Linked DNA regions of Schizosaccharomyces pombe. The gene in region 1 interacts genetically with each later gene. Each region holds a gene or a part of one and is shown on either strand. Other genes may lie near its edges.

Region 1 (6,596 bases):
CCTCTGTAGCTAAATTCAAATTTTAAGTAAAGATCGTCGTCAATCACTACTCTAGTAAAATTTCTCAAACGAGATTTTATTTTCGTATTTAGAGTAAAATAATCTTGAGTTTTTAAATATATCTTCAACAATTATTTCTCTTACTTTGCAAGAGTCGACAACCAGCAATGATGCGCTTCAACTTAATAATAGCAATCAACTTCACCCTTCTCTCTATCAGCATTTAGCTTCTTCTTTCTAAATCAATTAACATAAAACAAGCTGAAGTATTACAATTTTATAGCAAAATTGGCCTCAGTAAGCCAGAAACTTAGGTTTTCTTCCTTGACAATGGAAACAAAAATTCAAACAGTTGATACTCGCCTTATCTCTTTTGAAAAGCCTAGTAATGATTCGGAACATCCTTTTGAACACACAAGGGTGTCCATACCTCCCTCAGAAACTCGTTCTGCATTAGAGAACGCCGCGAATATATTGAGAAACACCGATTATCCAGTTGCTTTTCCTACCGAAACAGTTTACGGTCTCGGTGCTGATGCCCGAAGGACTGAAGCAGTCTTGTCAATATACAAAGCAAAGAACCGCCCTGCTGATAACCCTTTGATTGTACATGTTGCTTCTCTGGATCAGCTACGTAGATTGCTGTTGAGTGCATATCCTAAAGCAAAGTCAGAAGTAAAAAATCAAGCACATGACTCAGAGGAGATTATTCCAAAAGTTTATTTACCGTTGATTAAAAAGTTTTGGCCTGGTCCACTCTCAATTTTGCTGCCAGTTGTTGACGAGGCTAATCCCCCGGTCTCACCAATTGTGACAGCAGGACAAAAAACGTTTGCTGTTCGCATGCCTCAACATCCTGTTGCGCTTGCCCTTATTTCTATTTCAGATTCGCCGTTAGCTGCACCATCGGCTAATGCTTCAACAAGGCCATCTCCTACGTTAGCTAAGCACGTTTACAATGATTTACAAGGTAAAATTCCTTTAATTTTAGATGGGGGAGCATGCGGTGTTGGTGTGGAGAGTACAGTTGTAAATGGACTTTGTGATCCTCCCGTAATTTTACGGCCAGGAGGCATAAGTTTAGAAGAAATTCAAAGCTCTGGAGGGGCCTGGGAGCGAACAAAAGTATTCGTAGCTAAAAAAAGTGATATGGAAACAGATTTCATCCCTCAAACTCCTGGTATGAAATACAGACACTACTCTCCAACTGCCAAAGTGCTACTTTTTGTCAATTACACAGAATCTGATGCATACGGTGTTTTTGAAAAGTATTTATCTGAGCAGGGAATCACTAAGGAAAAGCAGAAGATTGGTGTTTTATGTAGTAAACGTTGGAACGAAGAGTCATTCCCTTCTCACTGTCCGTTTGTATTTTTGCATATGGGAAGGGATGGACATGAAATTACAAAGAATTTATTCGCTCAATTGCGAGATTTGGATCTGCAGGGAGTTGATTTTGTTTTGGTTGAAGGTGTCTCCGAGGAAAATGAAGGGCTAGCTATCATGAATCGTTTGGGCAAAGCTGCTTCTGTGGTTTTTGAGGGGCCTTCTCATTAGTTAAAATATTTATAGCTAAGGGGTCTTAGCTTTACTTGTATAGAGGTGTAATTACTTATCGAGCTATCTGTTTATTATTTTGATAAATTGTCTATAAAAGAATTATTTATATCATATTCATTAACTTATGGCTGACTATAATTAATTTGAGAGTAAAATATAAAAAAAAGCTGCAAATCGTAGTATAAATAAGATGCTTTATGTTAAGTTCGTATAACCCTTAAAATTCGCATGTTTCAACCTATTTCTTATTCCGGGAGTCATGATGTACAATAGTTGTTAATCTAATAACGCCAATACTTTAAATCTTTTCTTTATCGGTTATTCTTTCGATACTTCCTCATCACAATGAACTTGAAATTTCCCAAGAGGGTCCAATTTTCTTGGAGATTTCAAAGGCAACTTTTCGCCTACCCAAGAAGTAGCCGATATGTTGTTTTCTTTACGCCTTTGATCAACTGTACCAAGAGTTTGCCAGGTCCCAGGTTGGCCATCCTTTCCAGAACCATCCGCATCTGAATAAACAGAAAATTTAAATTTAGGTTTAGAAATTTTAGTCCTAGACTGGGATATTTCCTGGATATTTGTTGACTCAAATGTCGTTTGTAAAGGATTAACCGAATTTGTATTTGAAGAGAATGATTGTGGGGCAAATTCCAACCAACGGTGAGTAAATTGCTGATACTTTTGCTGAAATCTCAAAAATGGCTTAGCCTTCATTCTTTTTCCTTTCTGATAAACTTCGTCAGCTTTTTGAAACAATCCCCTAGACTCGAAATAATTTGCGTATTCCTCATAAAAAATCGAGGACTCCTGTCCAATATGATGATGTGCCAAGAAAGAAAATAATTCAACCGGTTCGTCTATATAGTTTACATATTGCATCCATATTCGTAAATACCGAACATCATCTTTATAAAGCGGATTTCGTACGAATTCTCGAGTACACCTTTCTAACAATGTTACCAGTCCACTAGTTTTTGTTTCACCTTGAGGGAAATTATCCAAGGTCCATTTAATATAATCGATCCAAACTTGTAGTGGATCATCAAGAGACTCGCTCGTCTCTATTTTTCGTTCATGGCCCATCCTTTCTTTTTGCAGACCAGCAACTTCTTTTTCGGTGTGGTTTCGCGACGAAGATTTTGCAAGTGCAGAAGCTGAATGACCAGCTTTTCTAGGCTCTATGTTTTCCTTGGACTGCTCAATGACATCCATATGCACCCAGTTCTTGCCAGCATCTAATGGTTCCATTTGTAGTCAATGTCTTCCAAAAAATTAGTAAACCTTTTCTAGAGAACCCTATACCTTCCACTAAATGAAAATAAATAAAACAAAGAAGGAGATGTGAGTGTAGTAGTATTGGAAAGTTTATTTAGACAAGTACAATTCTATTGAAAGAACGAAAATAGCCAGTATATAGTTTAATAGAAGGTGTACTGAAAGCTTTTGTATAAAATTAAAAGTGTCAACACTCAAAGAGCAAGAGTAGGAATGTATGAAAGATTGTGCGTAAATTAGAAGGTAAGTGCCAACTTGACGCTGGGGGAGGGTATCATACTTACGCCTGGAAGAGTCCAATGAAAGAGATAAGAAGTTTTTTCTGTTTCTTCGAATATACAGAAACAGAAGAAGAATTAAAATTAACCACTTCACATACTAATGGCTTGTATTATTAAATCATGTAAAACACAACCTACAAAACAACTAATAAAAATAAACAAAATGAAGATTTATAAACAACGATTTACAAGAGTTTATTCAAAAATTAATTTTCTATTTTCATAGCTGGTAAGACACATGAAACTGAGACTGAAGAATGAGCGACTTAAAAAGCTACTGTAAACAAGCAGATATTGGCTTGACCTGCAATAGAAATTTAGAGTTGTGTAGTCATTGCGAAAATGGGAGATTTCTGCATAATTTAACACTTGCATACTAAAAAATAAGTCTGCAAAATATCCTTGTAACAGAAACCAAAAAAAAAAAAAATCTAGTATAAAAAAATAAGAAATCAATAAGTTCGGTATGATAGTTTCGTAAAGTAAAACACAAAGAAATCAAGAGAGTATATCAAGCACATAAGAGTAGACATAATAAGGAACTAGCGAGGGAACGACAAAATTTATTGAGGGTAGTAGAAAAAGGCGAGAACAACAATCGCATACAAAGCAAGTAATTGAACACCTTCAAGCCAATGAGTAGCACCATCTTGTATCAAGTAATTAACCAAGAAAACAGACACAAATAGAATAACTGTTTCCAATGATTCAAAGTAAAGTGTTAAAGGTTGGGAGATGATCCATCCGACGATTACCAAGAAGGGAGCTAAAAACAAAGCAATCTGAATACTGGAACCAATAGCAACACCCAAAGCCAAATCCATTTGTCCTCGGTAAGATACCACGATTGCAGTAACATGTTCGGCAGCATTTCCTACAACAGGAAGGATGACCAAACCAACGAAAGTTTTTGAAATGTTAACTTCCTCAACCAATTGGTCTATCGAACCTACTAAATAGTCTGCGCAAAGAGAAACAAAAACCGTGACGATAGCAAGCATGGCAATGGATGAACGAAGGCCTAAAATTCGAGGTTCAGTTTCTTCTTCCACTTCACTGGGATCATGACAGACATGCTTATGAGTCTTTAATTGGAAAACTAAAAGTAAAACATAGACGATGAGTACAATAACAGCAGTTCCACGAGAGACATGGAGAAGCGCATTTTCGCTATTAGCGTTGTCGGGAAGGCTGTAATGGAAAGTCGCAGGAATCAATATGGTAGCAGTAGATAAAGCAAGCATTGCAATCATAGTTTGTGCAACAGTGATATTAAATGTGGTAATTTCACGACGAATACCAGTAGTTACGAGACACATTCCAAAAACAAGAAGCAAGTTGGATAATATTGATCCGAGAAGGGACGATTGAACGATGCGGAGCTCTCCTCTTTTCAAAGCAAGAACGCCTACAATGAGCTCGATGGCATTTCCAAAACTGTACACAACGTGTTAATAAAATAACAAAAGAAGACGATAAAGTAGGAATCTTACCTAGCATTCAACAATGCTCCCAATGTTGGTCCGCTAATTATAGAGAGTTGTTCAGTAGCAAAGCTAAGCAAGGATGCAAGGGGGATAATAGCAAGCATGTTAAGTATGAAAACAGATTTAGCGTTCCATTCAAACCATCCTGCAATTAAGCCGATCGGAACAAATACCAACATCAAGTTAAAGTAGCTAGACATCAAAACAGATTTGGTCATGCCGACCACGTTTAAAAGCGACAACTGACGAGCCATAGAGTGGTCATACTCTGATCCCAAGAGAGGGGCTCGTTCATGTCTATCCTGGGCGGGAAAATTAAAAGAATTCATAGCTTCAAGTCTGTTCTTAGCAATCTTTAATCTCTCAATCATGTTAGTCCAATTCAACTAATGTCAAGTTCGGCGGCTACTTATAGGACCCGTTTATACGATATTTTGCAAACCGAATACCTCTATGTATAAGCCAAAGATTTGAGGATTCATAAAACTTTAACTTACCAACTATAACAGTCAAATGATCTAACCTTCGGCTATCAAGGGGAATTCCGTTATAACAATCTGATATCCCTGTAAATCCTGAAAGCAAATAAAGACTCCAGAAGCAATCAAAATCGTAGAATTTTTACCCTATATTTCTAAAAAATTAATGCACTTTAAAGAAAATACAGAAATATGAGAAAACAAGAATCGTTTAACGCTTGCAGTCGGATATCAGCATGTATGTACTCAACGCGTTCGAATGCACAAACCCGCTTTGTCACATGTTCGTGGCAAATGCAAAACTTAGCTTAACGTGGCTATCTTCCAAATTTGTTGGTGTTCATAATGACCCTTTATCGATTTTACCTCGTGCTCCGTAAATCAGTTGGATACTATAAAGGCTTGGGCAGTTAGTTCTTGTCGTACCAGCAGCCAACACGAACGTGTTTTACTATTAACCGGATTGAGCGTATTAAGTATTGGAGGTTTTTAATTTTTCTTGCAAATTCTTAATTCGTTAACTACCTTTTGCTTATATTAATATTTCATTAAGTCCGAGCACTTCACATCTTTACAAGTGTCTAGTCTAATACCAGTAATATTGAGAAAATGGCTGTCAAGGGCGACGATGTCAAATGGAAAGGTATTCCAATGAAATACATTGCATTGGTACTTTTAACAGTGCAAAATAGTGCATTGATTTTGGTAAGTAGTCGCGGTTTTTTTAGGAAGTCTTGTGAATTTCTCTGGTTTGTGGAGTATATGGTCAATCTTCTTATAGAAACACGCATGTCTCCCACTTTTTTTTAGAAAAGCTTCGCTGTTTTTATGTAGAAATATATTTCTGTTTTTCCTATTGTACATGCTAATGGTTAAATAGACACTTAACTATTCTCGAATCATGCCTGGATATGATGATAAACGTTACTTTACATCAACTGCCGTCCTTTTAAACGAACTTATTAAACTAGTTGTTTGCTTTTCGGTTGGCTATCATCAGTTCCGTAAAAACGTAGGCAAGGAAGCAAAACTTCGCGCATTTCTTCCTCAAATATTTGGAGGGGACAGCTGGAAACTTGCAATTCCAGCATTCCTTTACACCTGCCAGAACAATCTTCAATATGTTGCTGCTGGCAACCTTACTGCCGCATCTTTCCAAGTTACTTATCAGTTGAAGATTCTTACTACTGCCATCTTTTCTATCTTACTTCTCCATCGAAGACTCGGTCCCATGAAATGGTTTTCTCTTTTCTTATTGACTGGTGGCATTGCCATCGTTCAGTTGCAAAATCTTAACTCAGACGACCAAATGTCGGCAGGACCTATGAATCCCGTTACTGGCTTTAGCGCTGTACTCGTCGCGTGCTTAATTAGTGGTCTAGCTGGTGTGTATTTTGAAAAGGTCTTGAAGGATACCAACCCTTCCTTGTGGGTTCGCAATGTGCAACTTTCCTTCTTTTCACTCTTCCCCTGTCTTTTCACCATTTTGATGAAGGATTATCACAATATTG
Region 2 (5,102 bases), on another chromosome or scaffold:
GATTTAAGTAGTAGTAGTAGTAGTAGCAGTACGTTGGTTGAATGGGCAAAACCGAAAGACGCGACTACCAGCATGTCGATGACAGCCGGGAATGTCGTATTTGGTAATAATTCTTTAAATATTCGGTTTTGCTAATCTAATTTAGTTGGTAACATTCCATATGATGTTTCGGAACAGCAAATGACTGAAATCTTTAATCAAGTTGGACCAGTAAAGACTTTCAAACTTGTACTTGATCCGGAAACAGGTAGTGGGAAGGGTTATGGGTTTTGTGAGTTTTTTGATAGTGAGACTACCGCTATGGCTGTACGAAAGTTAAATAATTCCGAATTAGGACCTCGTAAGATTCGTGTCGAGTTTCCATCAAATGATCCCAGAAGGAATCAAAGTTATGAATATACGGAGCGTACTGATAGATACATGGAACAGCAAAATGCTCATGAAAGTTCTTATAATTCCCGTTTTATTCCTCCTGTTTTGCATTCAACATCTTCCCTGCCTGCTTCACAAGGAGGTGGGATGCCAAGTCCTGCTATTTATTCGTCGTCAATGGCTACTAATCTTAATAAAAATATAAATTCTACTTCTGTTCCTGCTTATAATTTTCACAACAGTATGACCTCCGACTTTGATTCTGCCAGTCAACCCCATACAGATGCATACAATGCAAGAACCTTTCAGTATAATAAATCTTCACAAAACAAAGGGGATTACACTTCCGGGACTTCTATATCGAATCCGACTTCTATCCCATTGGCCCCGTCTGTCGTTCAGGTACTATCTACCTTCTCAGCTCAGGAACTTCTCAATATGTTGTCCAAACTTCAGACTGTAGTTCATATAGCACCAGAAGAGGCACGACGACTTCTAATTGCTAATCCTGCTTTACCATACGCCGCCTTTCAAGCTATGTTGCTGATGAACTTAGTTGACGCAAATGTCTTACAACAAGTAGTAGTCGCAGTGAAGAATAAAAACATGCATCAACCAGCTTCAGCAACTTCCTCTCCTCCTTCTGTTCCCCAAAAAATACCTTCTAGTAACCATAAAAGTCAACAAGCGAATGGTTCAGATCAGGGCAATGAAGGGAAGCGGGTACGTTTTTTTTTTTTTTTTTGCACTAACAAAACAGATGGCCCTCATACAACAATTGTTGGCTCTTACCCCAGAGCAAATTAACGCATTACCTCCTGCACAAAGGGATCAAATTCTTAGCATTCGTCGGCAGCATTTTCGACAGTAAGTCTAATTTTAGTAATATCAAGAGATTAAATATTAGCATTTGACCAAGTACTTAAATTTGGTGTGCAAGATAATTTATTTACAACACTATAAACCATATCCTAGCACTGATACCTTTTCATACTACACACTTCTTTATACTATTCGGATGTTTTGCTTCTCATAAATATTTGTTTCTATACGCGTTATGGAGGGCTATTTCTTGGATCCTTTATTCAATATCCTTTTATAAAAATTTACTCAATCAATATTTCATATTAAAATTTATTATTTTTTATATTTTAAACTGCCCTTTTGATCGTAAATATATTATAAAAATGTAGGTGGTAACATCAACTGATACTTCTCAAATAAATATGCAACTCATAAATTCCCAAAAAGTTCAATTTCTTAAAAAAAATTTAGATCACAGGTTTAAAATTGTAGTTCAATTTTTCCAACTACGAAGTGTCAGCACTGGCTCATGCAAGCTTCCAAGTACAGACTACATAATTACAGTTTAGGAAATTGAAAACCATCGAAAATGAATAATCCTATGGAAGAACAGCAAAGCGCATTATTAGGAAGGATCATAAGTAATGTAGAAAAGCTGAATGAAAGTATTACAAGACTCAATCATTCATTACAGGTAAGATTACGACGTCAAATATTTGTGTACATATCAACTTTCCGCTGACATTCTTAAAGCTAATTAATATGTCTAATATGAATGTTGAGCTAGCTAGTCAAATGTGGGCGAATTATGCAAGAAACGTAAAATTCCACTTGGAAGAGACCCATACGCTTAAAGATCCCATCTAAAGTTATATGATGTTCTTTAATATTTGTGCTAACGAAATTTGCTATAAAGCACAAGCAAAATTAATATAACAAGGATTGCAATTATTGCTGTCGTGAAAAATCTGTTCATGGCAAGTCTTTAAAATGAGTTAGTATAAAAGATCATTACATGACGATTCATATCACTATAATAATGTCTATCTGTGTCCTACCTTCTTGCCATTGTCTTCAGAGTTCTTAAACTTCGATCAAGGTGTCCAGACGTATCTCCAAGCTAATTTGGTTAACAAATCTCAAAGAAATTTATACATAGCATAAAAGAAAACTATATTTTTAAACCATGGAGCTAATAAGCTTGGCTAAGATATGCGTATAAATCGCGCATTTTATCTTATCAATCATAGTGATTCATTTATCTATTTTGCAATAATTACTTACCATCTCTAAAGAATGCTCCAATTGATTTCTTTGACCATGAAGATCACGAAGAATGCTAGCACCAATGCCTTCAGTCTCATTCGCAATCCGTTGTGATTCAAGAAGACGCTGTGAAGATTGCTCAAGTCTATTTGTTCCTTGTAACAAACGAGTTCTTTGGTCATAATCTTGATCACTTGCAATATAATCACCGGATGTTTCATCCCTATTTCCAAAAAGGGCTTTCCTATCTGATTTGCCAATTTCTTCCTTCTAAACGAGAAAATTGTTAGTATGAATTTGGTAAATAAAAGTAGATTGTCTCATAGTAATTTCTGTAAAGCTTCAAAAGAAGAATGTTCGATATAGCTAACTTACCAGGTGTCTACGCCACTCCTCCAAAGTTGAACGATAACTACGAATTCTTCCATTTACGAGACCTCTTTCAGAAGTAGGGATACCGGTAATTTCAATTTCCATTTGACCAATCTGCAAGTTAGCCACTTTTTTAAAAACACAAATTATTCCAACATACTACTTCATCAATTTCATTTAAAAGTCTCTGACATGATTGAATAACAGAGTTCTCACCACTTTTACTTAAATCATTAAGTTTTTCTTCGATATCTGCTCGAAGCAAGCTAATTATTAGTAAACTTGTAATGGTATTAGACATACCGATATTCTTGCTCGTACGTCTCCATATTTAACAATTATTAATATTGATATATTAGATTTCTTGAAACTATCGTGTAAACAGTTTCTCAAATGAATTAAAAATAAAATAGGTGTAGGTTAAGATTAAATGGTTACGTTGGGAATCGAATACCCATAACAGGTAGTCATATTAATTAAGGCGTGTGTAGAGAGGAATCTACTAAAGCGAAAGAAAAATACAATGTTAAAAGGAATGAATATTAATTAGATAGTGTACAGTTATTATTCCTATGATTCATCAAACCATTTAGTCAATTCTTCTGATAATTCGTCAAATTCGTTTTTCCAGTATAGTAAGCTAGAACCAGATTCTTCATAAACATCACGTACAATGTAACCGTCCATCTCAGCTTGATAAAGTCTTTCTAACGTTACACCAATGGACCAATGCAACCTCATTGCACATTTCAAAGCCGTAGTGCTAGGATTCATAACTTCCAATATAGCGGACAAAAGTTTTCCTGAATGATTAGAAGTTTTTAATTGAAAAAGGATAAGCCCAGAGTTCATTTTGGACGTTGTTATACCAACCTCCATGGAATCTATTAGTTCACAAGCCTTCACAAATCTGGTCGGAGGAATCAGGTTTGCTTTTCTTGACCGATTATAGATGGCCCAAGCCTGGGTCATGGTAACCGTATCGGTATCAGCTTTTAACCTTGTGCGTAAAACTTCTGAGATACTTTTACATAGTTCAATATCATACAATCGAGAATTAGCCGAAACAGGAACATTATCTAAATGATTTCCTCGTAACACTCCTAACTGATTCGATTTGTTTAAAAGCTGCTGTACCTTGTCAGACTGTTGAGTGCCGGTCAGCCCATCCATCTTTTCAGCAAATTGGTCAGCCAGAGACATAGTATCTTTCGCTAAAGAAAAAAAAGCATCTAAATCTTGAAACGCATGTACTAAGGTACGTCCATTTTTGGCTAATTGCATCTCATGAGATTGCTCAAGATCATGAATACCACCCATTCGCAAAGACTTTTCAAGGATGGCCTTCCTCAGAACTTTAGTATCATATTTATTCGAGTATCTTTGTTTTTCTATTTCATCTGTTTCAGATTTGATAGCTTCGTAAAACTTGGATGAACCCGAGCCTCTAAACGAGAGTTGTATAAGCTGGTTTCTATCGACATTTTTTAATTGATTGCCGCAAATTTCACAAGTATTCAGATCCGGATAATTTTGAAAAGTACACGCGGTGCATAATCCTTGAGAAAAACGCGCATCTGATTTCGGCTTTATAATAGTAAATCGGTTAGCAACTCCACAGTTTCTACAAGGATTAATGGGATCACCCACATTGATAAATGTACAAATTTTGCAAGCCCATGACTTTTCCACATGTCGCAGAGAAAGGCGAATTTTTGGGGAGGAGCGAAAATACCTAGAGGTATGCTGTACATCTCTTATATCGGAGATTTTAATTTTTAATGAATTCTTTTTAGGATCTACTGAATCTACGTAGAAGATGTGTTTTTTTGTCAAATATAATGTTCCATTATTATGACGAAAACTTTTCTCATCTCCGAAGTATAAACCTACCTGGTCTTGAACTAGCAAAATTTCTTCTGAAGGATCCAAAACCGGTAGATTAGAAGGGGTTGTTTCTAAATAAAAGGCCATATTAGAAGGAGAGATTAACCAAAATGATAATTGTCAAGTGAATTAAAACTTATATAACATGTCATGTGCCTTGGTTAACTAGTCGAGACCAACAATTGATTTGAGATAATCTGTGAGTACGACTTTCGCTTTATTTAGCTACCTTTAAAAAAAATATTTTTGGATGACAGCTGTGAATGTCGATATATAAATAACATAAATGAAGCCTGTCAAAAGCTCGATTTAATATGTTACAATAAAAAAATCAAACCGTAGTCTTAATAAAAAACAACCCAAGGATCACAAACTAGCGATAAAAGATGCAACAGTGCCAG

Evidence for each region.
Region 2: mutations in mad3 (region 1) and dad4 together harm fitness more than expected from each alone (negative genetic interaction), as found in Schizosaccharomyces pombe (one large-scale study listed by BioGRID).

The regions. Positions count from the first base shown.
Region 1 is NC_003421.2:993,903-1,000,498, reverse strand, and holds mad3 (mitotic spindle checkpoint protein Mad3), read right to left. Parts: upstream 3,084-6,596; 5' UTR 2,812-3,083; coding exon 1,879-2,811; 3' UTR 1,660-1,878; downstream 1-1,659. Other genes in the region: SUA5/yciO/yrdC family protein Sua5, read left to right, coding at 331-1,557; vcx1 (CaCA proton/calcium exchanger), read right to left, coding at 3,683-4,556, 4,613-4,977; Golgi UDP-galactose transmembrane transporter Gms1, read left to right, coding at 5,695-5,790, 5,966-6,596. UniProt on the Schizosaccharomyces pombe protein: Component of the spindle assembly checkpoint which is a feedback control that prevents cells with incompletely assembled spindles from leaving mitosis.
Region 2 is NC_003423.3:4,002,998-4,008,099, reverse strand, and holds dad4 (DASH complex subunit Dad4), read left to right. Parts: upstream 1-1,717; 5' UTR 1,718-1,765; coding exon 1,766-1,870; intron 1,871-1,898; exon of another isoform or gene 1,899-1,929; coding exon 1,930-2,043; 3' UTR 2,044-2,071; coding exon of another isoform or gene 2,072-2,159; 3' UTR 2,160-2,234; coding exon of another isoform or gene 2,235-2,296; 3' UTR 2,297-2,460; coding exon of another isoform or gene 2,461-2,712; 3' UTR 2,713-2,817; coding exon of another isoform or gene 2,818-2,928; 3' UTR 2,929-2,974; downstream 2,975-5,102. Other genes in the region: cleavage and polyadenylation specificity factor complex subunit Ctf1, read left to right, coding at 73-103, 146-1,095, 1,133-1,243; SNARE protein Vti1, read right to left, coding at 2,072-2,159, 2,235-2,296, 2,461-2,712, 2,818-2,928, 2,975-3,080, 3,118-3,143; ESCRT II complex subunit Vps36, read right to left, coding at 3,385-4,788.